Macaca mulatta: one gene and its partners. The protein of the gene in region 6 interacts with the protein of the main gene of each other region in a biochemical or structural test. Links are inferred from orthologs where the notes say so. Each region holds a gene or a part of one and is shown on either strand. Other genes may lie near its edges. The genes, in order: RPTOR, PDK1, RPS6, MAPT, MTOR and RPS6KB1.

The links.
Region 1: of the proteins of RPS6KB1 (region 6) and RPTOR, one has a biochemical effect on the other in vitro, tested with the Homo sapiens proteins (6 studies listed by BioGRID and IntAct, with this or other methods). The link is inferred for Macaca mulatta from reciprocal best matches to the Homo sapiens genes RPS6KB1 and RPTOR.
Region 2: the proteins of RPS6KB1 (region 6) and PDK1 form a complex in vitro, tested with the Homo sapiens proteins (2 studies listed by BioGRID and IntAct, with this or other methods). The link is inferred for Macaca mulatta from reciprocal best matches to the Homo sapiens genes RPS6KB1 and PDK1.
Region 3: of the proteins of RPS6KB1 (region 6) and RPS6, one has a biochemical effect on the other in vitro, tested with the Homo sapiens proteins (4 studies listed by BioGRID). The link is inferred for Macaca mulatta from reciprocal best matches to the Homo sapiens genes RPS6KB1 and RPS6.
Region 4: of the proteins of RPS6KB1 (region 6) and MAPT, one has a biochemical effect on the other in vitro, tested with the Homo sapiens proteins (2 studies listed by BioGRID and IntAct). The link is inferred for Macaca mulatta from reciprocal best matches to the Homo sapiens genes RPS6KB1 and MAPT.
Region 5: of the proteins of RPS6KB1 (region 6) and MTOR, one has a biochemical effect on the other in vitro, tested with the Homo sapiens proteins (18 studies listed by BioGRID and IntAct, with this or other methods). The link is inferred for Macaca mulatta from reciprocal best matches to the Homo sapiens genes RPS6KB1 and MTOR.

Annotation. Positions count from the first base shown.
Region 1 is NC_133421.1:90,242,717-90,248,328, forward strand, and holds the start of RPTOR (regulatory-associated protein of mTOR), read left to right. Parts: upstream 1-2,063; 5' UTR 2,064-2,841; coding exon 2,842-3,003; intron 3,004-5,553; exon of another isoform or gene 5,554-5,612. UniProt on the Homo sapiens protein: Component of the mechanistic target of rapamycin complex 1 (mTORC1), an evolutionarily conserved central nutrient sensor that stimulates anabolic reactions and macromolecule biosynthesis to promote cellular biomass generation and growth.
Region 2 is NC_133417.1:77,481,051-77,486,044, forward strand, and holds part of PDK1 (pyruvate dehydrogenase (acetyl-transferring) kinase isozyme 1, mitochondrial), read left to right. Parts: intron 1-258; coding exon 259-330; intron 331-2,550; coding exon 2,551-2,735; intron 2,736-3,022; coding exon 3,023-3,118; intron 3,119-4,847; coding exon 4,848-4,925; intron 4,926-4,994. UniProt on the Homo sapiens protein: Kinase that plays a key role in regulation of glucose and fatty acid metabolism and homeostasis via phosphorylation of the pyruvate dehydrogenase subunits PDHA1 and PDHA2.
Region 3 is NC_133420.1:79,810,666-79,816,094, reverse strand, and holds the start of RPS6 (small ribosomal subunit protein eS6), read right to left. Parts: upstream 3,849-5,429; 5' UTR 3,808-3,848; coding exon 3,802-3,807; exon of another isoform or gene 3,701-3,801; intron 3,253-3,700; coding exon 3,121-3,252; intron 2,542-3,120; coding exon 2,331-2,541; intron 2,151-2,330; coding exon 2,004-2,150; intron 283-2,003; coding exon 125-282; intron 18-124; coding exon 1-17. UniProt on the Homo sapiens protein: Component of the 40S small ribosomal subunit. Plays an important role in controlling cell growth and proliferation through the selective translation of particular classes of mRNA.
Region 4 is NC_133421.1:70,918,511-70,923,504, reverse strand, and holds part of MAPT (microtubule-associated protein tau), read right to left. Parts: intron 4,062-4,994; coding exon 3,949-4,061; intron 1-3,948. UniProt on the Homo sapiens protein: Promotes microtubule assembly and stability, and might be involved in the establishment and maintenance of neuronal polarity.
Region 5 is NC_133406.1:229,490,761-229,495,754, reverse strand, and holds part of MTOR (serine/threonine-protein kinase mTOR), read right to left. Parts: intron 4,049-4,994; coding exon 3,804-4,048; intron 2,378-3,803; coding exon 2,162-2,377; intron 1,802-2,161; coding exon 1,596-1,801; intron 1-1,595. UniProt on the Homo sapiens protein: Serine/threonine protein kinase which is a central regulator of cellular metabolism, growth and survival in response to hormones, growth factors, nutrients, energy and stress signals.
Region 6 is NC_133421.1:50,035,232-50,040,225, forward strand, and holds part of RPS6KB1 (ribosomal protein S6 kinase beta-1), read right to left. Parts: intron 4,289-4,994; exon of another isoform or gene 4,092-4,288; intron 1,108-4,091; coding exon 1,000-1,107; intron 1-999. UniProt on the Homo sapiens protein: Serine/threonine-protein kinase that acts downstream of mTOR signaling in response to growth factors and nutrients to promote cell proliferation, cell growth and cell cycle progression.

The DNA of each region.
Region 1 (5,612 bases), about 40 Mb from region 6:
CGATCTCAGCTCACTGCAGCCTCAAACTCCTGGGCTCAAGTGATCCTCCTACCTCAGCCTCCTGAGTGGTTGGTACTACAGATGCATGTCATCATGCCTGGCTAATTTAAACATTTTTGTTGTTGTTGTTGTTGTTGAGGCCAGGCGTGGTGGCTCATGCCTGTAATCCTAGCACTTTGGGAGGCTGAGGCAGGTGGATCACCTGAGGTCAAAAGTCCGAGACCAGCCTGGCAAAGAGTCCTGCCTCAGCCTCCCAAGTAGCTGGGACTACAGGCACCCACCACCACGCCCGGCTAATTTTTTGTATTTTTAGTAGAGATGAGGTTTCACCGTGTTAGCCAGGATGGTCTCGATCTCCTAAACTCATGATCTACCCGCCTCGGCCTCCCAAAGTGCTGGGATTACAGGTGTGAGCCACTGCGCCTGGCCAAGGGTCAGATCTTGATGTCCAACATTGGTTATGGGAGCAACAAAAAAACAAAGCCCATGCTGCCCACTGGCTTCCGGAAGTTCATGGTCTACAACGTCAGGGAGCTTGCTGCTGATGTGCAACAAAGCTTACTGCGCTGAGATCGCTCACAGCGTTCCTCCAGGAACCGCGAAGCCATTGTGGAAAGAGCCGCCTAGCTGGCTGTCAGAGTCACTGTCCCCCATGCCAGGCTGCGCAGCGAAGAAAATGAGTAGACACATGTGCGTGTTTGGTGTTTAAATAAAACTGTAAAAACTGCAAAAAAAAAAAAAAAAAAAGTGCAGATTCTGAATCCCAGTCTCCCTGCTCCCCGATCTGGGGGTCTGGGGCGGAAGCTGGGCATCCTGATTTTTAGTTTCCTGGGCGATTCTGACCACCTGGTGGGTTTGGACTTCAACGTGCTCACTTAGAATTTCTTTCTTTTCTTTCTTTCTTTTTTGAGACGGAATCTCACACTGTCGCCCAGGCTGGAGTGCAGTGGCGCAATCTCGGCTCACTGCAAGCTCTGCCTTCCGGGTGCCCGCCACCACGTCCGGCTAATTTTTTGTATTCTTTAGTAGAGACGGGGTTTCACCGTGTCAGCCAGGATGGTCTCGATCTCCTGACCTCGTGATCCGCCCGTAATCCCAGCACTTTGGGAGGCTGAGGCGGGCGGATCACGAGGTCAGGAGATCGAGACCATCCTGGCTGACACGGTGAAACCCCGTCTCTACTAAAAACACAAAAAATTAGCCGGGCGTGGTGGTGCGCGAGGCTGAGACAGGAGAAAAGAAATTTACAAAGGATAAACTGCTCAGCAAATGAAACAGATTAAACAAAGAATTGTATTCGATGAATTTTTTTTTTTCATCGAATCTTGCTTCGGACCCTTCTTCATCTGAAGAGTCTTGCTCAGTCTCCCAGGCTGGAGTGCAGTGGCCTGATCTTAGCTCACTGCAACCTCTGCCTCCCCGGTTCAAGCGATTCTCCTACCTCAGCCTTCCGAGTAGGTGGGACTACAGGTGTGCGCCACCATGCACAGATAATTTTTGTATTTTTAGTAGAGACGGAGGTTTCACCATGTTGGCCAGGCTGGTCTCGATCTCTTGACCTTGTGATCTGCTTGCCTCAGCCTCCCAAAGTGTTGGGATTACAGGCGTGAGCCACTGCGCCCAGCCTTTCACTTGGTTTTCTACGAAAAAGAGAAAATCTGATTGACACTGTGGAAGATACTACATTAAAAAAAAAAAAAAAAAGTACTATATTTTCTAATATTATCAGTGTTTTTTCCTGAAGCTTTTGCCGCTTTTTCAAAATCTGGAAGAAACAAGGCGGTTGATTCCTCTAATTTCAGGAGCATGTAGCTTCATTTATAATAACAATGTTTTTGAAAAAATAAATTAAACCGACAGTTTCATTTGTAGGACTGACTTTAATAACACGCCTCTACTGAACAAATGGCGATTAACTGGGGAAAACGGAATTACGGTAACCGAGGTAATGGGGTCAGGGACTCCCTTTCCTTCACTGCTTGTTGGGTGGCGCGGCGAGAACGCTCTGAGGAGGTTTGGTCTGTCGGCCACGCCGTAGGCCGCGGTGCATTCTGGGTCCTGGCAATATGGCGTCCTCCTTGATGTGCTGATGAGATGAGTTTCCCTGTAGCTCCAAACCAGAGGGCAAAGCTCCCCTGACCCAGTAAGCCCTCATTGTCCGTTTTCTCCGTGGTTCCGTGTCGCCTGTTTCTCAGGACTCGTTCTCAGGCAGGAGAGAGCCTCGGGGCTGAAGGCCAGGACCAGCCAGGCCGCGCGGACCTGAGGTTGAGGAACCGGGTGCGGGCGAGCACGATGGGCCGGTCCTGGCTCTGGTTGCGGCAGCTCAGACGAGTGCGGGACCCGCAGGGCTGAGAGTGGCTGGAGGAGACCCAGGGCCCTTTGAACCCGATCCCTTGGCCGGAGACCTCGGCCCAGTGGGCGAACCGGCACCAAGAGCGGCCTGCCTGTCCTCGGAACTGCTGAGGCGTTGGAGGCCGAGAGCAGGGTCATCGTGAGGCCTGAAGTCTCTTACGCTTTTGACAGCTCCGCTCGCAGCCCCTCTGGAAACGTGCAGCCCCAGGAGCAGCCAGTGGCTTGGGACTTGGGCTGGTGTGTGTCTGCGGAGCTTCTTGGGCTGCCCCATTTCCTAGCGGCCCCCACCTCCCCACTTCCCGCCCAGAGTTAGAGATAAGGATCTCAGACTTTTTGCCTGAGTAAGGGTCTCCGCACTCTCCATCCATTTGTTTTTCGATTCCCCGTTTTTCTGTTTCTTATTTCACCAATTCTGGTACACGCTAGTTTTTAAGGCTGGAGGTTCTTGAGCGCTTGCTGCCAAGGACTCCCCCACCCCCTCCCCCACTGATGGAGTCCGAAATGCTGCAGTCGCCTCTTCTGGGCCTGGGGGAGGAAGATGAGGCTGATCTTACAGACTGGAACCTACCTTTGGCTTTTATGAAAAAGAGGCACTGTGAGAAAATTGAAGGCTCCAAATCCTTAGCTCAAAGCTGGAGGATGAAGGATCGGGTAAGTGGATTCTGAAGGCACCCCTTGAACTTGGTAGTTTCTCCAACAAAGAAAGTTTACAGCCTGAAAAGTGTCCTTGGGAAAGCGCTGACATTTCCCCCCAGCCACACGTTGTAAGTCAATTAGAAAGCAAAAGCCATTTCAGACTGCAGTTTTTGGCTGAAAATGGGAAAGGCTGTTTTAATTAGTCGTTATTCACTGGGTAGTGTTAATTCAATTCCAACTAAGTTCTGATTCAGATAATAAAAGTTAAGCAAATTTGAAATACAGCATTGCGAGTATTTACATGCTCTTCGGCATACTACTTTGTTCTGTTAACACTTAGAGGAAGGGCAACGTGCGATATAATGCTTATACCCACATAATTAGTCTACTTTGTAAAATTTCCAAGCTGGGTGAAGTGCAGAAGTCTGATATACTATGCTAGGAAACGAGATTACTGGAAAATGTTCAACTAGTAACAAATTAGTGCAAAGTTATTTTAAAGTTACAGTGAACTTCATTCTAGTCTTCTCAACAATTTGTCTTGAAGCTAGACTTTCCTCCTTTTATGTAGGGTCCTGTTGCTGTAACTTGGAGACAGGATTTCTTTAATTGTGAGTTAGGGTATGAGGCATTGACTGCAGGTTTCAGGTTGTCCTCATGGTGTTGGAGTGTGGAGAGTGATTCACAAGCAGCTGGTAGGAAAGAAAACAGCTGAATTTTGTTGAATTTATCCTTCATAAGATACCATCTATTTCCTGGTCTCAAAAGCAAAAGGGTGGTACTGCTTCTCATGTATGCACACTTATAATTTGTCTTTTGGTAAGTTATGTTCTCCCTCCAGGCTGCTTTTATTTATTTGCACGTTTCAGTGGTATAAAAGAGGAAGTTGGTGTTACAAGGTTTGATTTCCTTTAGGCTTATGTATATGTTTATGGAATATTATTGTTTTTTCATATATGATGATGAACATATATAAGATTACACTTCTGGGCTGGGCGCGGTGGCTCACACCTGTAATCCCAGCACTTTGGGAGGCCAAGGCGGGTGGATCACCTGAGGTCAGGAGTTTGAGACTAGCCTGGCCAACATGGTGAAACCCTGTCTCTACTAAAAATACCAATATTAGCCGGGCTTGATGGCAGCTGCCTGTAATCCCAGCTACTCGAGAAGCTGAGGCTGGAGAATCGCTTAAACCTGGGAGGCAGGGGTTGCAGTGACCTGAGATCGTACCATTACACTCTAGCCTAGGAGACAGAATGAGACTCTGTCTCAAAAATAAATAAATAAATAAATAAAGATTACACTTCTGGTAACTCTAGTCTGTCAGTAGTAAGCAGTACTTTAGTTACTGATTTGGCTTACTTCTAAAAGATTAGAAAAATTTGTTTCATCGAAAAGCAGTTTAAGGAGTTAAATAAGTTAGACATTGGGGGAGGTTGTATATTCTATCTTATGGACATCTTTAGTAGTAATTATATAGTTAAAAGCTTTTGTGGTTGCTATACATATGTGAAAATACTTTTTTTAAAAAAAATTCTGTGTAGAGGGCAGTTTTTTTTTTTCTTTTGAAATGTGGTTCCCTCTGCTGTCCTAAACCTATGTTCCAACTGTTCGAAACTGATTAATGGGTATATATTTGATCTTTTAATTAAAACATTAATTTGTGAATGATCAACATTCCATAATAAGCTTTTCACAGATTGTTAAGAGAAACAAGTTCTGTGACTCTTAGTAACTACTGAGATTGTTGCTTAGAAAGCAGCTGGGGAGAAAGTTTGCTGTATCTGTTTTTCAGTGGAGAAAATCAGCAGCTAACATCTTCAGTTGAGTTTGTGGGAGTTTGGAATCTTGTCATCTCTTCCCTCAGGTCAGACCTTGATGGACCGTTTCACACACCCTATAGGACAGAAGTTGCAAACTCAAATGATACTAAGAGTGAGAAGGTAGCATAAGTGAATGAAACAGGCCACATTTAAGAAGAATAATGGCATAGGTTCACAGATAAAGATAAATGGCAGCTGACATTTGACACAGTGTGTGTGACAGTTTCTGGAGGGTGGGAACGGGAGCTCCCTGATGCCGTAACTGAAGGCAACTGGGCCTTGGCCAGGCCTCTCTCTTTCTTTGTCTTTGAGAAGCCAGCAAACTTTTATTTTTTTAAATGTAAAGTCTTCCAATTTGTAAATATTCTTACTAATTCAGATATATTACCAAACACGTTGTAGTCCAACACTGTAGGCTGAACAAAGCCCATTTGTGGAGTGTTTTTCTGTTTCTTTTCTTTTCTTTTTTTTTTTTGAGACAGGGTCTTGCTCTGTCATCCAGGCTGGAGTACAGTGGTGAGATCACACGGCTCACTGCAGCCTCGACCTCCTGGGCCCAAATGATCCTCCCACCTCAGCCTCCCCAGTAGCGAGACCATAAGTGTGCGCCACTATGCCTGGGGTTGGGGAGTCTCACTGTGTTGCGCAGGCTGGTCTTGAACTCCTGGGCTCAAGCAGTCCTCCTGCCTTGGCCTCCAAAAATGCTAGGATTATAGGCGTGAGCCAACATGCTCAACCTGGGGTAGTTTTTTTTTTTTTTTTTTTTTTTTTGAGATGGAGTTTCGTTCTTGTTGCCCAGGC
Region 2 (4,994 bases), on a different chromosome or scaffold from region 6:
GGATGTAGAACTTAGAATAGAAAATCTTAAAATTCTTAAACTTGACCTATGCTTTTAGGAGAAAATGTGTACCTTCTACTATTTGTTCCCAGCACTTTTCTCGAATGTGCATGGGTGTAAAAATTCTACTTCAACCATAATTTATAGCAGTACTCTAAATTAAAAATTATAAAATGCTAAAAATAGCTTTTGAGCTAAGTTTCATGATAACTTTCAGAATATAAAAGAACGAACTTATCCTCTTGATCTGCATTTTAGGTATATCCAGAGTCTTCAGGAGCTTCTTGATTTTAAGGACAAAAGTGCTGAGGATGCTAAAGCTATTTATGAGTAAGTTCACTATTTTGACCCTATTCTTAAACCTATTATTAGGTCACTTAGGGGAAATTGATTAACTTTTAGGTTTCTGCTACTTTACAACATGTGATATATGTGACTATAGCAGCCCATACAGGCAGGATAAATAACCTAATCATTAAATTTGACTAGGCATAAGAAATGCTTCGCATTCCTCTTTAACAAAAGACAAAGTTCAGGTGTGATGATCAATGGAAATGTAGATGTGGCCTCAGTTGCAGTTGGATTGTTAACCTGGAGGGTGCATGCTCTTTCTAATGGACAACCACCTTCAGCCCCAGCTGATCTTTGCCATGTTAAAATACTGCTCATATCATCTGATTGTTTTCTGATTTTAAAGGAAAGCTACAAGTCTAGGTTTGTAATGTAAAATCTCTTGCTTTTGAAAGATTGGCAGCTAATTAAAACATTTTTTAAAACATAGAAGGCCTATAAAACATGGTTGCAGGTTTCTAGTTTATTCTCTATGGCCTGTAAGATGTCAGTAATATGACAAGTTTAATAACCCATATACCGGAATTGGTAGACCAAAGTATTTGCCATATGCAGCTACCTGCTTATTGCAGTGAAGGGCACCGACAATGTAATGACCATCTCTTGTCCTCAGTTAGTTACACATGTTTTTTGGACTGTCTTTAAAGGGAACAGTAACACTTCATTTTTTTAAACATGATTTTAATCTGAAAATAACGTTCAGCAAGAGTTTACTCCTTGCTTAGGTATTGAGCAGACTTTACATGAATGATGTTTTTTAATCTTTAAAACAATTCATTGAAATAATGCTGTTTGTGCACAAAGAGGGCATGTAGCTTAAGGTTACATAGTTAGCACATGGTAGAATCCAAGCAGCCTTACTTTAGAAGTAAACATGCTATAGAGCCTTCTGAAAACAGTCGTTCAGAGCTGTGGAAAATAAGTAGTCAAGCAGAATAATACAGCTTTGTTTTCTTTTAAGAAAAAAGAAAAATAAATAAAGGAATGACTAGAATGATGAGTTGTTTGTTGTTTTCGAAGAGTTTTGTTGTTTGTATTTTGGTTTAACAGTCTTGTTTTGAAGCTTGTTACTAACTAGGAATTCCAAAAATGTTTTAAGCAGTGGAAACATCATTGGAATAAGTTAATAGTACTCAAGATGATGACTTTGAATAGGAAAACACTCATTTGGAAGTGTAAATTCAGATGGGTTATGTTAGAAAATTGGTTTTGTTACTGCATAATTAAGACTTCTTGGGCCGGGCACAGTGGCTTATGCCGGTAATCCCAGCACTTTGGGAGGCCGAGGTGGGCAGATAGTCTGAGGTCGGGAGTTCAAGACCGGCCTGATCAACATGGAGGAACCCCATCTCTACTGAAAATACAAAATTAGCCAAGCGTGGTGGTGCATACCTGTAATCCCAGCTACTGAGGAAGGCTGAGGCAGTAGAATCGCTTGAACTTGGGAGGTGGAGGTTACAGTGAGCCAAGATTGTGTGATTACACTCTAGCCTGGGGAAAAAGCAAAACTCCATCTCAAAAAAAGAAAAAAAAGATTTCTTTTCTCTTTTGTCTTTTATTTAGTTCTTTAACCATGCAACGTCTTCTAAGTGACAGAAATGGGAAGGCTACTAGATGATTTGAAGATTTATCTTTTAATACAATTGTTTACTTTTCCTCTCCCATTTTATAAACTCATAGAATAAATGAAATGATAATTCTTTTTTCGTTTTTCTGTCCTAAGTGTTTCCTTCTCTCTTTGAACCCTAGGGAATAGTTCTAAAACAGGCAGGCTTTATTGGCTCATTCATCTTGATTCCTTGCAGAGCAGAGCAGGTGTTCCCTAGAGGCAAGTGCTTTGTCTTCTTCTATGCAGAATATCTCTGGAATACCATCCTCTTAGCAAGTGCTCAGATAACCTTAGTTGATAGCAGTTAAAACCATTAACATTTTTAAGATTATGTTTTGTCACAGCCTTACTCTTAGGAAACCAAGAAAATAATTACATTTTGAAAGTTTTATTTTGGAGGTCGTTATACTTCCATAGATTTGGTATATTTTATGATTTGAAATACATTTAAATAAGTATAGGAAAACATGAACTGATTTTCCTTTTAGTAAATTAGGGATTTTTGTCTAGCATAGTTGGTTAAACTTATATTTTTGTATTAAGTTTACTTGTCAAAATATTTGGCTGTTTTGACAGATGGGTTTGTTTAGCTTTACAGATACTGTGATACGGATCAGAAACCGACACAATGATGTCATTCCCACAATGGCCCAGGGTGTGATTGAATACAAGGAGAGCTTTGGGGTGGATCCTGTCACCAGCCAGAATGTTCAGTACTTTTTGGATCGATTCTACATGAGTCGCATTTCAATTAGAATGTTACTCAATCAGCACTGTAAGTGTCCTGAGTCAAGAGAAGCAGCTAAATGAGATGTGGTGGCATATTTTAAATGTATTTAGGAAACTTCCATTTAGGTAGAAAATTTAGTTTTACCTTTTGGCTAATTAAGAGAAGTAAATAGACTGCCATCAAGAAAGGTATTTTTATTGAATGTAAAATACTGTGTTTATCCTAAAGGCAAATATTTGTTCTACTGTTTGGTACAATTTAAACACTATTCAGATTTGGAAAAGAGCATTAGGTAGTTTAGCTTATTTTGTTGGTTTTGTCTTTTTGGATAGCTTTATTGTTTGGGGGAAAAGGCAAAGGAAGTCCGTCTCATCGAAAACACATTGGAAGCATAAATCCAAACTGCAATGTAGTTGAAGTTATTAAAGGTAAATACTGACATTTCTCTTTACAAAAAAGATACAAAAATCAAAGTTACTGTTATTTCTTACTATTAAACAACTATTTGTATCATGAGATAAAATGGTAGGCACCAATGCATGGGTTTGAAAATAACCTTATAGTATTATTTGTGCATTATTTATAGGATGACTATTTTATTGATAGAATTATAGATAGGCAAAGTTTGGTGATACTATAGAGGATATCTTTTTTGTTTTGTTTTGTTTGAGACAGAGTCTCATTCTGTTGCCCAGGCTGGAGTGCAGTGCTGCGATCTCAGCTCACTGTAGCCTCTGCCTCCTGAGTTCAAGCGATTGTCTTGCCTCAGCCTCCCCAGTAGCTGGAGTTACAGATGCTCAACACTACGCCTGGCTAATTTTTGTATCTTTAGTGCAGATAGGGTATTACCATGTTGGCCAGGCTGGTCTGGAACTCCTGCCTGCCTCGGCCTCCTGAAGAGCTGGGATTACAGGCGTGAGCCACTGAACCCAGCTGAGGGTATCTTTCACTTAAAAAAGATTTCAAGTCCCTGCTCCCCTGTTTCTAATTCCTTGCACTATGAGCAGTAATTCGTAACAGGTTGGTTTGAATCCTTTCACGCTTTCTTCTATTTATACCACTTGTACACATACACAATTGATATTGGCCTTACATTGTTGTTTTTAGAAAATGGGGTGCTCTGTGATTTTTCTACAAGTTTGCAGACATCTTGCTGTTCAGTACATCTGGATATACCCCAAGATTTTGAATGGCTGTATGGAATGTATCAGTATGTATTAATTAATTCTCCTGTTGGCGTACATTTAGGTTGTTTTAATTTTTTTGTTACCACCAATACCAGCAGTTCTGCTGTGAACATCCTTAAATACATGCTTACTTTTGCTAGTATTTTAGAGGGTAAGATTCCTAGAATTAAAAACATTTAAATGCATATAAAATTTTGGTATCTCTAAAAAGGTATCAAACAGTGGATAAGAGTATTTCCTAACCAACTCTTAAGTTTTGTTATATAGATAGGAAATATTTTCTTCAACCTGTTATTTTTCTTTTTTTTGCATTGTCGTTGGTGTCTTTTTAGCATATACACTTTTACATTTTTTTGTAGTTATATTTGTCATTTATTGTTTATGGCTATTCAGCTTTGTCATGTCACACTTAGACTTTCCCTGGGCCAGGTGCAGTGGCTTATGCCTATAATCCCAGCACTTTGGGAGGCTGAGGCGGGTGGATCACCTGAGGTCAGGAGTTCGAGACCAGCCTGGCCGACATGGTGAAACCCCACCTGTACTGAAAATTCAAAAATTACCTGGGTGTGGTGACACATGCCTATGTAGTCCCAGCTACTTGGGAGGCTGAGGCAGGAGAATCACTTGAACCGGGGAGGTGGAGGCTGGAGTGAGCTGAGATAGCGCCACCACACTCCAGCCTGGTTGACCAAGACTCTGTCTCAAAAAAAAAAAAAAAAAAAAGAGAAAGGCTTTACCTGGTTGGGGGCCTTGAGCCCAGGAGCTGGAGACAAACCTCAGCAATATAGCGAGACCATGTCTCCACCAAAAAAAAAAAAAAAAAAAGCAGAGACTTTCCCTAAACTATCAAAGTATATTTTCTTCTGTAGAGAGTTTAAGACTTTCATTTGTCAATACTATTGCCATCTTAATGCATGAAAGGGAAGTATATTTATTAAATCCTTTTTTGTTTTGTTTTGATTCGCACTAGATGGCTATGAAAATGCTAGGCGTCTGTGTGATTTGTATTATATTAACTCTCCCGAACTAGAACTTGGAGAACTAAATGGTAAGCCTGATGTTGTCTTTTTCTCAGTGATTAGTGCGTTGATTACTTCATAAGGGATAAGAATTTAAA
Region 3 (5,429 bases), on a different chromosome or scaffold from region 6:
CGCTTCTCCTTAGCCTCCTAAACAAAACAAAAAACAGCATATAGTTAAGGCCTTTCTGGGGTAAAGATGCAAATCCAAAGCCAGGTCGAACTCCTCCCACCCCTTCAAATCATCTTACACTAACCTTCATTCTTTTGGCCAAAAGTTTAGCATATTCTGCAGCCTCTTCCTTGTTTTTCTTAGTACGCTGCTTCTTCAGAGCAATACGCCGCCGTTTGTGCTGCAGGACACGTGGAGTAACAAGACGCTGAATCTTGGGTGCTTTGGTCCTAGGTTTCTTACCTAAAAATTCAAAGGACTCAATCATTTCAACTGTTTTGTTAGAATCCACATCTACTTTAAAAACATCAGAAATGAACGTAAGCTTCATCAACAGCATCTATGAAAACCTGTATTGAGGCCTTTAAAATCAAATCAGAAGTATTTTAAAATACTTTTTGCTCCTCCACAGAAATCTAGAAGATGGGTTAAATATAAAAATATAAGGGAAACCAAGTGCTGAAAAATAACCAAGCTAACCTTTACTACCTTCCAGTTTTACTAAAATACAGTGGCATTATGTTAAAATATAACTCTGCATAGTCAATTTGTCTGTGAAAACCACTTAACATAGTATTTACATAATCATCCTGCCATACTTTTAAGTGTAAGTTTGATGTAAGCTTGCATCTCTATTTCCCTTGACAATTCCTGCCAATTCAGGGGTAACGTAACAATTAACATCAGATTATGTGACATGTTGTTAAAGTATCTTCATTAATCTGATCTGTACTCCAAAACTGCTCAGACTGTAGATTTGCATTGGAGCACAGGCTGTTTCATGAACACTCGTGGGAGTTTAATTGCCTTAGGCTAAATGCTCAGATGTTCAGGTTCTGCTAATATTTCAGACTCCTACTATAAACACAGGAACCATCTAAAAATACCCATCAACCACACCACGCTTTTATTATTCTGATTATTTCCAGGGCTGTGATTATCGGCAACTGCCACCTATTTGTCAATTGCTTTTCTTTTTTTTTTTTTTGCAATGTCAGCTTCATTAGGGTAGGAATTTGTCTATACTGTATTCTCAGCACCTTGAACAGTACCTGGTGCTCAAATAATTGTAATTACTGACTTAACAAACATGTACTATATATGCCATGTACAGGTGTTAAGTCACACCAGTCCTGAAAAAACAAAATCCAGAGAAATTCTTTCAGATTTTGTCAGGAAAACCCAACCTTGACTGACATGCTGTTTATTCTATTTAACATAAACATTCCCAAATTTCACTACAGAAATACTGTCATTTGAGGTCCTCACTGGTATGTTGTCTAATATATTGACACAAGTTCTTAAAAGGTAAAGCTCCAAAATCCCTAACTCCCACTTCCTAGTATTCTAAGGTCTCTAACTTCTAATTCTTACAACTCTTAACAATTGTTATCCATATCCTACAGATGAAACAAAAGTTTAAAGCAACTTCTTTAGTAAGCCAAAAAATAATTTAGGGTTGGGTGTGGTGGCCTGTAATCCCAGCACTTTGGGAGGCCAAGGTGGGAGGATCACTTGAGTTCAAGGGTTCTAGACCAGCCTGGGCAACACAGTGTGACCTCATCTCTTAAAAAATATTAACAGTAATAATTTAGAACATCTGATGTAAAATTACAAAGTGTGTGGTGGTGAGATAATAGTTCCAGAATTCTCAAGCATGTGACTCCTAAACCAGATAGCAATGACCTTAAAGTCAGGTTAGTTTTGGATAAATGTATACATCAAAGATTCACAGGCAGATTTTCAAGGAAATTACTGCACTCTACAAGGCACTGGATATAATAAGCAAGGATTAATACCAAGTGGGTATGCTGGCCACCCCCACATATTTTTTGTAAAAATTCAGACTCCAGGTGAAGAATGCTAAGGCTCCAAAGGCACATTTTTATCTTCTCATATGCACACAAAATGATATTGACAAATCACCAAAATTAAGCAAGCCCTAATTGCATAATCCCTCCTACCTTCTTTGTTTAAGGGCTTTCTTACAACATACTGGCGGACGTCATCTTCTTTAGAGAGATTGAAAAGTTTGCGGATTCTGCTAGCTCTTTTGGGGCCCAGGCGGCGAGGAACTGTAGTATCAGTCAGTCCAGGAATATCCTTCTCTCCTTAGAAGACACAATTGAAAAGATTTTAATTCAACAACTTCCTTAAGAATCCTAAATCAGAATATTTAATGTTGAATTGATGGTAAAGAAACAAATCCATTGGATACTGCAAATGAATAAGCATTTGGACAACTGGCTTTACATCAATTTCAATGAAAATTGAACACAAGTAACCCTCACCTTTTTTTACAATAACCAAGTTGAGAACGCTCAGATTGGCATCCACAATGCAACCACGAACTGATTTTCTCTTTCTTTCTCCCGTTCTCCTTGGTCTGTAACAGGAATGCCCCTTACTCAGTAGCAGGCGGACACGGCCATGGGTCAAGACACCCTGCTTCATGGGGAAACCTTGTTTGTCGTTCCCACCACTGATTCGGACCACATAACCCTGCAAGAGCATACAATGAATGACACATTTACTATTTCTATTCCAAAATTATACAATACAGGATTGTGACCTCTGTGAACCACACCTATATGAGAAAGTATAATTCATTATGAAAACCAATTTAAACTTAAAACTTAAGCACGTTTTCTCTGATCAGTAAGTTTTGTCTACATTCCCAACTTATCAAGTTCAATTATCAGATGTCTTTCATTCAAGTCGCATTTCTAACCGATGTTTTATTAGAAATAACAGCACTAGGAAGATAAAATATCAAAGAGCAACAAACAAGATACAATGCGTCTTCGCACTTTGGAGATTATGAGGACAGCTATGTGACATCTGCCGAATGCATGATGCATGGCAAGAATTACGTTGATGTAAACTTTACGTATATTTTACGGCTTACTCTATGTCTCCCCTCCAAGGTAACAGCTCAGCTTCATAAAGTGGCATTCGGAAGCAACTTACCAAAGGTCAGAAGCCAGAACCCGCAGTCTGAACCCCATTCCAAATACCAATTACCAATGGCGTTTACCGTCTGACTTCAATAGCTGCAACAATTTGATTGTTAACTTTTACCTTCCATTCTTCACCCAGAGCGTCAGCAGCAACTTCTGTGGCCATACGCTTCTCATAAAAAGTACGAAGTTTGCGTTCATCGTCCACTTCAATGAGTTTCTGGCAGCCAGTGGCTGGGAAGGAGATGTTCAGCTAAGGATTAAAAGGGAGGGAAATAGTTTACGAAACTACCTACACAGGTAATTGTAGAGCCATCCACAAAGTTAATTCCACTGCAAAAAGCCTTTCATGTTGCCTCCACACAAGCAGGAAATATGAGATGCCGACCGTACTCACTAAAAGCACGTGAAAGCACAGTAGCAGTCAAGAAGCGCCGCACTCAGGAGGACGTGTTCCCCTCAAGCCCCGCAGAATGACTCTGGGGGCGAGGGCGCTCCGCAGCTGTTCACCCTCCCGAAGCAAGAAAGCCGGGGTCAAGAGCCGCACCACAGGCCTGCCGCAAACTGGGCAACACGCCGGGACGCCACCATGGCGCTCCCGGCCCGCCGCGGCTCCAGCCGCAATCGCCTGCCATCCGCTCGGCCAAAAAGCTCCATGCCCCAGAAAAGCGAGCCTTCTCCTACTTGAGACCCTTCTGCACCTAAAGCCAGGATCTTGCAGTGCTGGAAATGAGGCAATGCCGCGTTCTGGGACTCGATTCACGTTCCCCAAACCAGTCTAACACTCGCCACCACCACCTACCTTCATCTTGAAGCAGCCGAACGCCTCCGAGGCGCCACGGAAAAGAGGACCAACTTCCGCTTAGCGCAAGTCTCATAGGCGCTTTCAGTTCTCGCGAGATGAGCAGAAGTACGGGACAGCGGAAGTAAGCACGGGTGGGCGGCACTTCCGGGGTTGAGTTGAATCAGGGTCTGGGAGGTGAAGTTGGTTGCCAGTGGTTGTGAGGTTATGCCAGCAGTGGTGGTCTGGTAAGGCGAGCCCGCGTGTGATTCTGAGGGTTAGCCCCTTCCCTGTCTTGTCTTTTCCACGCTCCCTGGGTTTTGGAGCTGGGTGGCTCACGCCTGTAATCCCAACACTTTGGGAGGCTGAGGCGGGCGGATTATTTTAGGTCAGGAGTTCGAGACCAGCCTGGCCAACATGGCGAAACTCCGTCTCTAATAAAAATATATAAATTAGCCGCGCGTGGTGGGGGGGGGCGACTGTAGTTCCAGCTACTAGGGAGGCTGAGGCACGACAATCGCTTGAGCCCGAGAGGCGGAGGTTGCAGTGAGCCCATATCGCACCACTGCACTGCAGCCTAGGCGACAGAGGGAGACTCCGCCTCAAAATAATAAAAGTTCGAGTTCCAAATCAAGTAAACAAGAATAATGTTTACTTTCTAAAATTATCACATACCATCTTCCCACTTTAGTGTCACAAAGGTTTGAGTTTAGGACTGTTTCACGTTCGAAGTTGAATGACTCTACTGAATCCGCTTTGATCATCTCACATTAATTCGTGGAATCTTGGTGAAATGATGCTTTTTAAAATCTGAGTACTGTATGTAATTTTTTTGTTAAGGTGAAATTGACATAACCAGTCATTTTTAAAGTGAACAATTCAGTGGCATTTAGTACATTCACAATGCTGTACAACCAGCCTCTCTATCGATACAGTTCCAAAACATTTTCATCATCCTAAAAGAAAACGCTGTGCCCCGTTAAGCGGTTGCTCCCCCTTCCCCATTTCCACCAGGCCCTGGCAACCACCAATCTGTGTCCTGTCTCAGTGGATGTGCCTATTTCACAAAAATGGAATCATACAATATTGACCGTTTGTGTCTGTCTGACTAATCTTTTGAGTCGTAGCATGTATCAGTATGTCATCCCTTTTATGGCTCAATATGCTAGTGTAGGTATAGACTGCAATTTGTTTATCCATTCATCCATTAATAGACATATGGGTTGTTTCTACCTTTTAACTATTGTAAATAGTTCTTCTATGTATGAGTACTTGTTTTCAGTTATTTTAGGTATATACCTAAGAGTGAAATTGCTGGGTCATACAGTAATTTTATTCTCAGGGAGAAACGGAAACTATTTCACAGCAGCTGGACCATTTTACATTCCCACCAGCAATGTATGAGGGCCGCAGTTTATCAAAATCATGGCCAACACTTTTTTTTTTTTTTTTTTTAATTTTTAAAAAATGTATTGTAGAGACAGGGTCAAAGCGAGATCCTGTTGGTCTGGAACTCTTGGCCTGCAGCATCCTCCTGCCTCAGCCTCTGGAGTAGCTGCGACTCATAGTGGTTTCGATTTGCATTTCCCTAATGACTAATGATGTTGAGCATGTTTTAATGTGTTTGTTGGCCATTTGTATATCTTCTT
Region 4 (4,994 bases), about 21 Mb from region 6:
GCAGCGCACAGGAATTCCTGATGACCCTGAAGCGGCCGACAGGGTTATCCTCAGCCCTTGTTGGGTCCTAGGCTCTTTGAGCATCTGGTAAAGCCAAAAATATGTGTGCACATGTCCACCCACGCTCACACCCACACAGCCATTTTCCATATAATTTTAGGAGTCCATGGATCCAGGCTGAAGGGCCCCTATTGCAGCAGGCTTGAATGGGCATAGAGAAAACCATGCTCCCGTTTAAGCTAGATGCATATTTTGTTCATTTGCAGTCACTACTTTGAAAAACAGATTGTTCTCTATTAGTGTATTTTCTTTTTCTTTTTCTTTTTTTTTTTTTTTTAGACAAAGTTTCACTCTTGTCACCCAGGCTGGAGTGCAGTGGCGCAATCTCAGCTCACTGCAACCTCCACCTCCCGGGATCAAGCAATTCTGCCTCGGCCTCCCGAGCAGCTGGGACTACAGGTGTGTGCCACCACACCCAGCTAATTTTTGTATTTTTTGTAGAGACGGGGTTCTGCTGCATTGGCCGGGCTGGTGTCGAACTCCTGATTTCAGGTGATCTGCCTGCCTTGGCCTCCCAAAGTGCTGGGGTTACAGGCGTGAGCCACCATGCCTGGCCTGTTACTGTATTTTCTTGAAAGACCATTTAATACAAGCTTTGATAAAAATATTTATGTTAATGTTTTTTGAAGTGTTTTTTAAGAGAAAGTTGACATTCCTGGGAATGTCCAAAAATCCCCAAACTGAAAGGAACCCAGGAGGCTGGTGGTGTGCCCCACTGCTTGTTAGCAATTTTTCTCAACACACGGAAAACGGGACTAACGCTGCGGGGATCCCTGGGACCAGGATGATGTTTTCTGAGTAGGGGCAGGGCCCTGCCCACCTTCCTGAGCCATCACATGGACAAGTTGGAAACAGAAGGAGCCAAGAAGCTGAGACTCAGCATGGCTCTAACTCAGGTTCTTAGAGGACTGCAACGCACCAGGAACCTTCCAGAACATTGTTTTTTTTGGGGGGGGGGGGTCTCACAACCACCCTGGGACGTAGGTACAGCATTTCCATTTCATCTTGCTGAAGGAGAAACTGAGGCTGAGAGGATTTGCGGATCTTGACTCTCCGAGCAGAGTCAAGCCCAGAGCTCTTCCTAACACAGAGAAGCTTCCAGAGACTGCAGCGGGCCTCCCTTCACCCAGGAAATCGCCAATGCCCATGCCCCTATCCCGACCCACTCAGTCAGACTGTGGGGACGGGGCCAGGCCCAGGTATCTTTAAAGCGCCCCAAGGCTGGGAGGCCCTGCCTTAGACCAGGGGCGGCCTGGGTGGTGGAAACAGCAGAGAAGCTGACTGCTTCCTCAGATAACTGGGCCCGGCCCCCACATCCCTTGAGGCGGGCAGCCTCCTGGTCCCCCGCTGTTTTCTCACTTTGGATAGTGACCCAGGCACTGAAAAGTATCCCTGTGTCCTGCATGGCACAACCTGAGAGCTCTCGGCCAGCTACTATGGACCAGTGCCCTCGCCAGCCTCAGGGCCTGTCTGGAGGTGAGGTCTGCCCCAGGCCACAGTTTACAGCATCTGCGGCAAACACTTCTCACAAAACTACATGGTTAGACATTTATCACAAACACAAGATGAGGGTGCCCATCTGTTCAGAACCAGATGCAGTGGCAAGAGGGGAGGGCGGAGACTGACCAGGGCAGGGGTCTCTCAGCTGCCACCTGAGTGGCCTGGTGGAGAGACAGCCTGGTTGCCACTTCCACCCGACTGGGCCACCTCGAGAAGCAAACTTCCTCACGCCGAGCTGGGTCTCAGATCCCACACCCTTTCTGGGACACCCCGATACGGTTTGGCTGTGACCCCACCCAAATCTCATCTTGAATTATAGTTCCCACAATTCCTACACGTTGTGGGAGGGACCCGATGGGAGAGGATTGAATCGTAGGGGCGGGTTTTCCCTGCCCCTATGTTCTCATGATAGTGCTGTTCTCATGATAGTAAGTCTCCCGAGATCTGATGGCTTTATAAAGGGGAGTTCCCCTGCACAAGCTCTCTTCTCTTGTCTGCCACCATGTGAAACAAGCCTTTCACCTTCCGCCATGATTGTGAGGCCTCCCCAGCCACGTGGAACTGTAACTCCATCAGACCTCTTTCTTTTGTAAATTGCCCAGTATCCGATAGGTCTTCATCGGCAGCATGAAAACAGACTAATACAATCCTTTTCCCTCTACCACGCCCCAGTCAGCTCCTGGGAGACCCTGAAGGTTGGAAAGTGAGCCACTCCCAGAACTTCAGGCTGGGTGTGGGCAGGAAACCCCAGAGGGTGCTTGGCTGCGCTTCTGCAGAAGAGAAGCAGCAGCTACCAGACCGCATCCTGTGCCAGCCCTAGACAGATCTCGCTTAGCGCCACACACACCCTCACTGCACAGACACCCACAGCAAGACCTGGAGACTAGAAACTGCTGGGGACACCAAGGCCCCAGGAGCCTCGTGTGGACACTTCCACAACAGGCAGGCAGAGGCTTTCCTGAAATCAGGATTTCAGCATCATTGTTTTGCTCTAAGTGCCTAGTAACCCATTTAGAAAATTAGATTATGTTCCCATGTGTTCTTGGTGCGCCACAGGTGACTGGGGATGTCCACTTCCTTTTTTAGTTGTCTGCAAACATCAGGGCCTAGGACAGTGGTTCTCATTTTTTTTTTTTTTTTTTTTGAGATGGAGTCTCACTCTGTTCCCCAGACTGGAGTGCAGTGGCATGATCTTGGCTCACTACAACCTCTGCCACCTGGGTTAAAGCGATTCTCATGCCTCAGCCTCCCAAGTAGCTGGGATTACAGGCATGCACCACCACACCCAGCTAACTTTTGTATTTTTAGTAGAGATCATCTCTACTAAACCATCTGCCCACCTTGGCCTCCCAAGGTGCTGGGATTACAGGCATGAGCCACCGCACCCAGCTAGTTCTCACTTTTGACTGCACTAAAGAATCACCTGGGAGCTTTAAAAACTGCAGCCACTTAGGCCAAGCACTGTGGCTCACACCTGTAATCCCAGCACCTTGGGAGGCTGAGGTGGGCATATTGCTTGACCTCAGGAGTTCAAGACCAGCCTGGGCAACATGGCAAAACCTCGTCTCCACAGGAAATACAAAATATTTAGCCGGGCATAGTGGCAGGTACCTGTAGTTCCAGCTACTTGGGAGGCTGAGGTGGGAGGATCACCTGACCCAGGGAGGTAGAGGCTGCAGTGAGCTGAGATCATGCTAATGCACTCCAGCCTGGATGACAGAGGGAGAATGATACGGGCTGGCTGTGTCCCCACCCAAATCTCATCTTGAATTGTAGTTCCCATAATTCCATGTATCATGGGAGGGACCCAGTGGGAGGTAACTGAATCATGGGGGCGGGTCTTTCCCATGCCGTTCTCATGATAGTGAATAAGTCTCATGAGGTCTGATGGTTTTATAAATGGGAGTTGCCCTGCACACGCTCTCTTGCCTGCTGCCATGTAAGACATGCCTTTGCTTCTCCTTTGCTTTCCACCATGATTTTGAGGCCTCCCCAGCCATGTGGAACTGTGAGTCCATTAAACCTCTTTCCTTTATAAATTACGCAGTCTTGGGTATGTCTTTATTAGCAGTGTGAGAACAGACTAATACAAAGACCCTGCCTCAAATACTTAAAAATAAATAAAAACAAAAACTCCAGCAACTGAGTTGCACCTAAGACCGATCAGTCAGCCTCTCCAGTTGGAGCCCAGCTGTGAAATGTGCTAAAGCTCCTGGTGAAGGTGATTGAGACAGGCAGTCGAGACCCACTGGATGCTGCTGAGGGCCCACATCCAGCCAGTCAACACAGAAGCCTCTGTTTTCCTCCTCTGGGAACTGGACCAGTCTTTGTCCACTTGACTTGATTAATGCCCATACCCAAGTGCAGCATCCAACCCGCCCCCTTTACCTTTTTATTTCCTCCGCCAGGGACATGGGTGATATTGTCCAGGGACCCGATCTTCGACTGCACTCTGTCCTTGAAGTCCAGCTTCTCAGATTTTACTTCCACCTGGCCACCTCCTAGAACACAACACACACAAGAGCATCTTGCCATCATCTTCCGCAGTTCCGTGGACTTAGCACACATTACATGAGGTCTGTGGTCTACAGGGCAAAGTGCCAGGGGCTGCTGGGGCACAGCAAAAATTAGATCGGGAGCCACTGCTCTGCAGGGAAGAAGACAGTGACGGGACTTCCAGGTTTGCAGCAGGACTTGAACCAGGGCCAAGCAAGAGGTTTCAAGGAGAGACCAGCCTTTAGAAGTAGGTAAGACTTTCCTTTAGAATGCTGTTTGGATACAAGTAAGTCCTTGAAAAGTGCTTGAAAATAGTTTGCTTCATCTATCTAATCAAAGTATGCATCAATATTTACACAGTAAACTCTTCCTCTTGAGATACTGCAAAGGTAAGTGACAGCTCAACCCAGGAGAAATTATTCTAAATTATACATTGGTTGGCTTCCAGTAAGTCAAGTATTTTTTTATTTTATTTTTTCTTTGAGATGGAGTCTCACTCTGTCACCCAGGCTGGAGTGCAGTGGCGCGATCTCAGCTCACTGCAGCTCTGCCTCCCGGGTTCACGCCATTCTCCTGCCTCAGCCTCCCAAGTAGCTGGGACTACAGGCGCCCGCCACCACGCCCGGCTAGTTTTTTGTATTTTTAGTAGAGATGGGGTTTCACCGTGTTAGCCAGGATAGTCTCGATTTCCTGACCTCATGATCCGCCCACCTCAGCCTCCCAAAGTGCTGGAATTATAGGCGTGAGCCACCGCGGCCAGCCCAGAGCATCATTTTCTGTTTAAACAAAGTCACAGAGGGGACACGGCAGTGACCCAGGGTTCCTGTGCTGTAGCTGCTGCCGATAGTGAAGTGTCTCCATGTTGGCTGGGGACCAAGCTCACACATCCATATAGCTGCACCTCAAGCCTGAGAAGACCTGTGGACAGCTTGCTGGGA
Region 5 (4,994 bases), on a different chromosome or scaffold from region 6:
GGAGTCTCACTCTGTCACCCAGGCTGGAGTGCAGTGGCGCGATCTCCGCTCACTGCAAGCTCCGCCGCCTCCTGGGTTAACACCATTCTCCTGCCTCAGCCTCCCTAGAAGCTGGGACTACAGGCGCCCACCACCATGCCCAGCTAATTTTTTTTGGATTTTCAGTAGAGACGGGGTTTCACCATGTTCGCCAGGATGGTCTCCATCTCCGGACCTCGTGATCCGCCCGCCTCGGCCTCCCAAAGTGCTGGGATTACAGGCATGAGCCACTGCGCCCAGTCTTTTTTTTTTGAGATGGGAGTCTCTCTCCATTGCCAGGCTGGAGTACAGTGGCGTGCTCTTGGCTCACTACAACCTCTGCCTCCTGGGTTCAAGCAATTCTCCCAGCACCAGCCTCCAGAGTAGCTGGTATTACAGACGTTCGCCACCATACTGGGCTCATTTTTTTTATTTTTAGTAGAGACAGAGTTTCACCATGTTGGCCAGGCTGGTCTCGAACTCCTGACCCCAGGTGATCTGGCCACCTCGGCCTCCCAAAGTGCTGGGATTACAGGTGTGAGCCTCCATGCCCAGCCTTCAACAATGATTTCTATTCCTTCCTAAAACTCAGAAAATTTTTTAAGACTTAAAATGACAGGCACTTCTAACGCAGGCCAGCAGTTAAATAAATCATTAGGCTAAAAACAGAAGTGCCAACGTAAGTACAGCTTCCTAATTTGTTGATTGATGATATAATTTACAGCCACTTTACAACAAATTGTGAACAAACAACATTTCTCTAGAGTGAGTTACATATATTAATGATTTTCTATGTTTAAGTTCCTTATATATTACAAAAAGTGTTTACTTCAAAACAAAGCATGAGGGAGGGTCAGGAAGCAGACAGCGAGCAATGGGGACAGGAAATGAATGGGTGAACCACATAGAGACCCAGAAGAGGCAGCTGGAAATAACTTTGCCAGGCAGGACTGGACCATGTATTGCTCACCAGGAGGCCACAGAACTTACTCAGGTAGGTGAAGACAAAAACTGAGGAGCCATATCTCAAGAGGAATTCTACCTTAGGCTACAGACCAAGCAACTGAGTTTGGCATTCTCATATTATTTAAGAACAAAAGCCAGGATCACAGACTGGGGCAATGACTATCAGAATAAATGGTGGAAACGGTCTCACATTGGTTATTTTTGTGAAGAACAATGGCTTCCATGCTTGACCTGGCACCAGCAAGAAAAGCAGGAGAGTGGAAGGATAGGGAGGCGCTGGGAAGTCTGACACCATCTGCAGCAGATCAATCCAGCAAGCAAAGAGGGCCAAGAAATGGGATCACTGGCGACTTGCCAGGAAAAAGAAAGAACTACATGAGAGGACTCCGAACCACCTTGGAGTCATATTGACAAAGGGCTCATGAGGTGATGAGCACTGGAACTGCCATTATAAAGCCAGGGAAACGTGGACCCTTGCAGACAAATGTGGCTTTTACCAGGTACCTCAATCTTTCTCCCCAATCCTTGTCCTCAACTCCGCTTCCTCAAGCAGCTCTCAAAGTGAGAGTCCTGTCTTCCCTGCCTGTGGGTCTGGCCATCATCCCGGTTACCTGGATGAGCATCTTGCGCAGGAAAGGCATGACAAACGCCGGGTTCATGCTACTGAGTCGGCCCACAGTGCAGATGGCCAGCTCCCGGATCTCAAACACCTGGTCATTCAGAGCCACAAACAAGGCCTGCAAGTTCTCCGCCTGGGCCAGGTGTGCATCAAAGCGCTCGTCCAGGGATGCCAAGACACAATAGCGAATGTCAGGGTCTGCAAGAGCAATGGAGCCTTTGAACATTTCTTCATGACCCCATCACTTTAGCCCTTCCCAGCTTCCACCTCCACTGCCATCAGCGTAGTGGGAAGATTCCAGATGCTTTCTCTCATCTAACCTCTGTTACTCTTTTCTCTACTCATAGGAGTAAAGACAAAGAATTAAAGGCAGATTATCTTACACTAAGAGGCTAGAGTAGCTGCGCCTAACACGCCTTGGCAGAGAAATAGCTGAATATCAGCTTGTTGAGGCCGAAGATCTCTAGAGAGGCCTTTCATTACGTAATGAAACTGGCTACTCGCAACTGCCCTAAGCTCCTTAACTCCCCTAGATTGCTTCTGTCTGGGAAGCCTTACCAGGATCTGTTATCCCAACCACGAGCAGTTTGCTAAGCACGTCTGCCACCACTTGCACTGCAGTCTGGCTAACCACATGAGCATGGCCACTGATGAGGTGGATGGAGGGCGTGAGCAGGCGGGAACAGGTACGGGCAGCCTCCATGCGGATCTCCTTGTGCTCACTGTTTAGAAAATGATCCGCACAGTGGCGAACAAATTGGGTCAGAGAGTGGCCTGGATAGAAAGGCAGAGAGAAAACAGAATAAACACTGCTGCTGCAGACAGGTAGGTCTGCAGCTTGCTAGCTGAATTTTCCATTTTGAGGCTACTAATTCTACTTTCAACCAGATATTGATCAATAAGATACTGACTCAGAACTCCTTTTTTTTTTTTTTTTTTTTTTGAGACGGAGTCTCGCTCTGTCACCCAGGCTGGAGTGCAGTGGCACGATCTCCGCTCACTGCAAGCTCCACCTCCCGGGTTCACGCCATTCTCCTGCCTCAGCCTCCCGAGTAGCTGGGATTACAGGCGCCCACCACCATGCCCGGCTAATTTTTTTTTTCTTTTCTTTTTGTATTTTTAGTAGAGACAGGGTTTCACCATGTTAGCCAGGATGATCTCGATCTCCTGACCTCGTGATCCGCCCGCCTCGGCCTCCCAAAGTGCTGGGATTACAGGCGTGAGCCACCGCACCCGGCCTGACCCAGAACTCTTAAAGGGTAACAAGGGGGCTTTCAATCAGCAGAAAGGCAAAAGAGAAATAGAGAAACCACAATAGAGAAACCACAGGTGGCTGTCTCCAGACAGCATGTTCAGGCTTTCTGTACTTGCTTGTTTCTCTACAGTCTTGACCAATACTACCTATATGATCTTAAATTTCAAAAGTATCAACTTCTCCTCCTGAAATATATCTCTGTGGGGTATTATTGTGGGTTTATTTGCAGTTTAGAACTACACAGTACAGTACTTTTAGAAATCATACCGCCAGCCGGGCACAGTGGCTCATGGTTGTAATCCTAGCACTTTGGGAAGCCGAGGCAGGCAGATCGCTTGAGGTCAGGAGTTCCAGAACAGCCTGGCCAACATGGTGAAACTCCATCTCTACCAAAAATACAAAAATTAGCTGGGTATGGTGACACGCACCTACAGTCCCAGCTACTCAGGAGGCTGTGGCTGGAGAATCGCTTGAACTCAGGAGATGGAGGATGCAGTGAGCTGATATTGTGCCACTGCACACCAGCCTAGGCAACAGAGAGACTTTGTCTCAAAAAAAAAAAAAAAAGAGAAAAGACACCATACCACCATAGACATGGAAACACCCAAAAGCCCCTGCTTATACATTTTAAAGCATTACATATCATCTCAGCTACAAGGAGGTGAAAAAGTGGGGACATGAGGGGGATCTGTCTCTGCAGCATTATTTCCTTGGATCAACGTATACTTTCCCTCAAACGATCTGCCCCCAAACTCAGTATGGGACAAAGAAACAAACAGGAATTACCAATATATGGAAAGAGTCTAGGAAGGATGAGCTGCTACAGAATCAGCTACCCTGTCTCTGGGATCACAGCAAGATCCAGGAAGTCTAGATACTTTCATTCCTTTCCCAAAGTTTCCAGCAGCTCTCACTACCTTGCCAAGAGACATTGTAATTTCTTACCTTCAAATTCAAAGCTGCCAAGCGTTCGGAGGGCAAGAGTGATGCTGCCCACATCGCTGGCCTCAGGGAGGGTTGTGAGGCCAGGAGAGGCCAGCTGATGGGCCAGGCCCTTGGGCATGCCTGGGTGGCGGAGTGGTTTGTGCATAAGGACCAGGGACAGCATTTTCAGTAGCCCATCTTGAATGTCCTTCTTTAGCTGTGGAATCTGACGACTCAGGTCGTAGAGCACTGCAGTGAGGGCAGGGCTGAGGGGAAGGAAACAAGCCACATAAGGGCTGGGCACATGACACTCAGTCTGTTCTTGGGAAGAAATAGCTTTCTCTCCTAGCAAGGGGATCAGGCCTCTGTTCTTCAGAGTAGAAAGGATATTATAAAATAAGAATAAAAGTGTAAACTCTCTTGGCTTAGTCTCAGGTATCCAAACAATCTGTGAGTTTCTGGTTCTCACCACAAAAGATTTGCTCACTATAATTCAGCCACTACAGAAGACCAAGTCTCAACAAACACTCTGGGAGCAGATTTAAAACACTGTCCTTATTTTACAGATGAGGAGAAATTAGTTTAGGAAGCTTAAGCAACTTGCTCAATAATATACACAATATTTGCAAATATTTATTGAGTACTTCCTATATGCCAGGCATGGTGCTAAGAGTGACTATATCATGAACCCACAGCAACCCTAGGCAATACGAATTACTATTGTACCCACTTTTCAGATTAAAAGAAAAAAATGAGGCCGGGCACGGAGGCTCACACCTGTAATCCCAGCACTTGGGAGGCCGAGGCGGGCGGATCACAAGGTCAGGAGATTGAGACCATCCTGGCTAACATGGTGAAACCCCATCTCTACCAAAAATACAAAGAATTAGCCAGGCGTGGTGGCAGGTGCCTGTAGTCCCACCTACTCGGGACACTGAGGCAGGAGAACGGTGTGAGCCCAGGAGGCGGAGCTTGCAGTGAGCTGAGATCGCGCCACTGCACTCCAGCCTGGGCAACAGAGCGAGACTCCTCAAAAAAAAAAAAAAGAGGCTCAGAGAAATTAAATAACTTAGTCAAGATCACATAACATGCTAGTGATGAAACTAGGATTCAGTACTAGCCTATGTGTTTAGTCTAAGCTATCCTGTCCATCCAACTGAAAGTGCAAACAACCACACCTCACTCTTTTAACAGTCCCAACACTGGAGGCCA
Region 6 (4,994 bases):
ATTCACAATTAATGTTTAAAAATCCCCTACTTGGCCGGGCGCGGTGACTCATGCCTGTAATCAGGCGGGTGGATCACGAGGTCAAGAAATCGATATCATCCTGGCTCACATGGTGAAACCCTGTCTCTACTAAAAATACAAAAATTAACTGGGCGTGGTGACACGCACCTTTAGTCCCAGCTACTCGGGAGGCTGAGACAGGAGAATCACTTGAACTCAGGAGGCAGAGGTTGCAGTGAGCTGAGATCGTACCACTGCACTCCAACCTGGCGACAGAGCAAGACTCTGTCTCAAAAAAAAAAAAAAAATCCCCTACTTATGTTAAGAGTACCAAAAATAGGGCCAGGAATGATGGTTCATGCCTATAACTGTGGCACTTTGGGAAGCCAAGGTGGGAAGATAGCTTGAGTCCAGGAGTAAAATAGTGAGACTCTGTCTCTACAAAAAAAAAAACAAAACTTAACTGGATGTGGCACACACCTGTAGTCCAGGTACTCACGAGGCTGAAATGGGTGGATCACTTGAGCCTGGGAGGTCAAGGCTGCAAAGAACTGTGATCATACCACTATAACCTATACCTAAGCCTGGGCTACAAGGTGAGACCCTGTCTAAAAAAAAAAAGGGATACCAAAAATCTACAGCTGTTTCAGGAATAAAATACATGTAGTTAGTGTGAGGTTTTTCTCCCCACTGCTATGACTAATTTTTGGTTGAGATGCTAAGCCAAACACCATTTTAAGTCTGTGGCCCAACCAAAAAAGGGAATCATACTCTCCAAAGAATTGCACATTCCCACCCTAATTGCTAAAATAAAATGTTGGATTATGAAAATCAATTTTGTAGGTATCAGTAAGTTATAAGGGCATCGCTAATGAAAAAAAAAAAAGTGGACCCGGTTACCTACATGAACTGCAAAGCAGGCAAACTGAATTTTCTTATCCAAGAGCCCATCCTCATACTTAAAATTTCCTATGACTACATGGAAATTGTTTCACTTACCAGAAAGACCTGATTGGCACTTTCACTGAGAGTTGAGTCATCTGGGCTGTCGACAGGTGTCTGACGTGTAAACTTGGAATCAAACTGACTTACATCCTCTTCAGATTGCTTTATACAAACAAAATAATTTAGAAAATAATAAATAGTCCATATATATATTACATGAATCAAATGCACTGTAAGCTCTGGGAGCTCTTTTCGCAGGGGTTAACTATAATAAAGTATTAGAATAGTCTTAGCAGGCACAGAATGAAGAAAAAAATGCAGGTGGAAAGTACTGAGTCAAATTACATCTTCAAATCTTAAACTTGCACTCTAATAGATTTTAGTATAGAGTTATTCCTATTAAAAATGAGAATATATTGACTGGGCATGGTGGCTTATGCCTGTAATCCCAGCACTTTGGGAGGCTGAGGCAGGCGGATCACAAGGTCAGGAGTTCAAGACTAGCCTGGCCAACATAGCGAAACCCCGTCTCTACTAAAAATAAAAAAAATTAGCCAGGCATGGTGGCGTGCTCCTGTAATCCTAGCTACTTGGGAGGCTGAGGCAGGAACCTGGGAGGCAGAGGTTGCAGCAAGCAGAGATCGTGCCACTGCACACCAGCTCAGGCGACAGTGCGAGAGTCTGACTCAATTAAAAAAAAAAAAAGTGAATATATCGAGCTCAAAACAAGCTGGAAAAAATGTTAATATCAATTTCCCGTCTCACAAAGCTTCATTGTGCCTAGTCCACTGGCTAAATCCCTGTTTAGAGATAATTAGTTCAGTTGGCTACTGCAGGTTTGTAATAAACCTGAAAAACTCCTGAAGCAGAGTTAAAACATGAATAACACTGGTGAGATGCTCCAGTTAAAGTTTCTTCCCACAGCGTGTTTCATTCCTTTAGAAATCTAAAGGAGCAAAAATAATTTTCTATTCCGCATGGTTTGTAAGTTATATTTCCCTGTGAAAGTATAGTTATCACTTCAGTTCTAACCATGAGATTCATTTATTTAATTCCTTCTCTCCCAAAATATCTGGTTAGACTCTTGGGCCAAATGTAGGAAGTAAATAATAATTTAGAATATCTGACTTCATACTGAAAGATGACCACACTGACCTTATAATTCTCTCAGAGCCCAGACTGTGAACCGCACTCCCTGGAGGAGCGGCTGATTCCAGGTGTGGGGAAATGCACAAGATAAGCACAGAATACCAGTTTCCTTATTTTGCTCTCTGGTGCAACACCAGCCCATGTGCTCATGTCAAAAGGACTCAGAAACCAACATGAAGATGCACCCAGCATTCACTGCACCCAGCATTCACTGCACCCAGCATTCAACAAAGGGAAAAATTGAGCATCAATTATAACTGCCAGGCGTGGTGGCTCACGCCCATCATCCCAACACTTTGGGAGGCAGAGGCAGGTGGACTGCTTTTGAGCTCAGGAGTTGATGACCAGCCTGGTGAACATGGCAAAATGCCGTCTCTACCAGAAACACAAAAATTAGCTGGGCATGGTGGTGCACCTGTGGTCCCTGCTACTCAAGAGGCTGAGGTGGGAGGATTGCTGGAGGCCGGGAAGTCAAGGCTGCAGTGGGCAGAGATTACACCACTGCACTACAGCTTGGGTGACAGAGTAAGACCCTGCCTCAAAACAATAAATGAATAAATAAAATGAATAAATGAATCAATAAAAATAAAAATAACTGCAATGAAATGAAATACAAATATGTTAAAAGGTGTAAGTTCATAATATACTAAAAAAGAAAAAAAATACACAAAGTTCATTGGTCAATTTTGGGAGATGCTAGGGAACTAATTCATTATTTTGAAAACTAGGAAAGAATCAAACATACATCCTGCGTTTCCTGTATGAACTATACCTTGAGTAACTAACTGATCAAAGAGTTTCTCTTTATGAAGAATTCGAGCTAACAAAGAAAGAAGAAATAACAGAATCAGACCATTTCACAAACACCTGATGAAATTATAAAAGTAGGCCAGAGTTTCTCAACCTCAGTGCTACTGACATTTCAGGCCTATTAATACTTCGCTGTGCTGACTCTTACCCCTAAAGGTGCCTCAGCATTCCCTCCCCCAAGCTGTGACAATCAGTGTATCTCCAGACATTGCCAAATTACCCTGGTAGTGAAATGCTGACACAGGCAATGATCAGTGACCACTAACATCACAAAAAAAAAAAACAACAAAAAACTATACATTATGCCTCCTGATCAAAGCATGCAATACTGAGAGTTTAATCTGAATCAGATCAACCACCTAAATTTAACTACCAGTTTTTGGAAGTTCAGGGAACAGATGAACATGGTCAATGAAACTATGGGGATAATATCAACGAAATCAAAATCTGAGAATTCTACAGGACAAATGACCCGGTTTCGTCAGTAAATCACAAGGGGAATCTGTAAATAACAAGAGACCTAAGAGACATAGTAACCAAGTTATATACAAACCTTGATTAAATCCTCACAAACAGGACGAAAAAAAAATAATGGAACAACAACAACAAAAAATTAAGTGGGGAAACACAGGGAAACCTCATCTCTAGAAAAATTTTAAAAACTAGCTGGGTGTGGTGATACACCCCTGTGGTCCCAGCTATACGGGAGGATCCCTTGAGCCTGGGAGGTTGAGGCTGCCATGAGCCATGATCATGCCACTGCACTCCAGCCTGGGCAACAGAGAAAGATCCTATCTCAAAAAAAAAAAAAAAAAAAAAAAAAAACTGGGCAAACTGTCAACTTCTGAGGTGTGATGCTGGGATGGCAGTTATGTTTAAACAAGATGACCTAATCATTTTTTAAGCTGGGCGGTAGGTGTATGACAGTTATCCTCCTTACAATTGTCTGTTGTTTTTTAAAGTGGGTCACATTAGCTCCATGACCAAAAAATAATCACCATCATCATCCTCCTCCTTCTCCACCTACATCCCAAGGAATGGAAAAAGAAACTGTATTTTCTCAGATTCTGAGGTGGGAGAAAGACAATAACTAACATACTAACTCATTTACTCAAAAACATATTGCTATGGGTTGAAGCATGTGCCTTACCCACCCCCCAAAAAATTTCGTATGTTGAAATTCTAACCTCTAGTTCCTCAGAATGTGACCTTATTTGGAAAGGGTTATTGCAGATGTAATTAGTGAAGATGAGGTCCTACTGGAGTAGAGAAGAACCCTAATCCAATATGCCTGGTATCCTTATAAAAAGGGGAAATTTGGCCACAGATATGCACACAGGTAGAACACCATGTGAACATGAAGGCAGAGATCCGGGTGATGCACCTACAAGCCAAAGAATGACAGAGATTACCAGCAAACCACCAGAAGCCAGGGGAGAGGCATGGAACATACAGTTTCTCACAGTCGTCAAAGAAACCAACTCTAACAATGTGATGTAGAACTTCTAGTCTCCAGATCTATGAGATAATAAATTTCTGTTGTCTCAGCCACCCGGTTTGTGGTACTTTGTTGCAGCAAGCCTAGCAAACGAATGCACATCTATTCTATAGTTTGAAGAAAAAATTCCCAGAGAATCATATTTAAAATGGTTAAATTAAGCAAAATAAAACCAGAAAAAGAAAAGTACCAACTACCTGAAATATTTAATTGTCTTAGGTAACTGACTTAAAAATAGCTCATACAGTCAACTGCCACTGGCTTTAGTTCTTTAAAAAACAGTACAAAAATAAAAGATGCTTGGCTGGGTGCAGAAGCTTACACATGTAATCCCAGCACTTTGAGAGGCTGAGGTGAGTGGATCACTTGAGCCCAGAAGTTCGAGACAAGCCTGGGAGACATGGCAAAACCCTGTTTCTATAAAAAATACAAAAATACTAGCCAGACATGGTGACAGCTATAGTCACAGCTATTCGGGAAGCTGAGGTGGGAGACTCACGTGAGCCTGGGGAGGTCAAGGCTGCATTGAACTGTGATCGTGCTACTGCACTCCATCCTGGGTGACCGAGTGAGACTCCGTCTCAAAATAAAA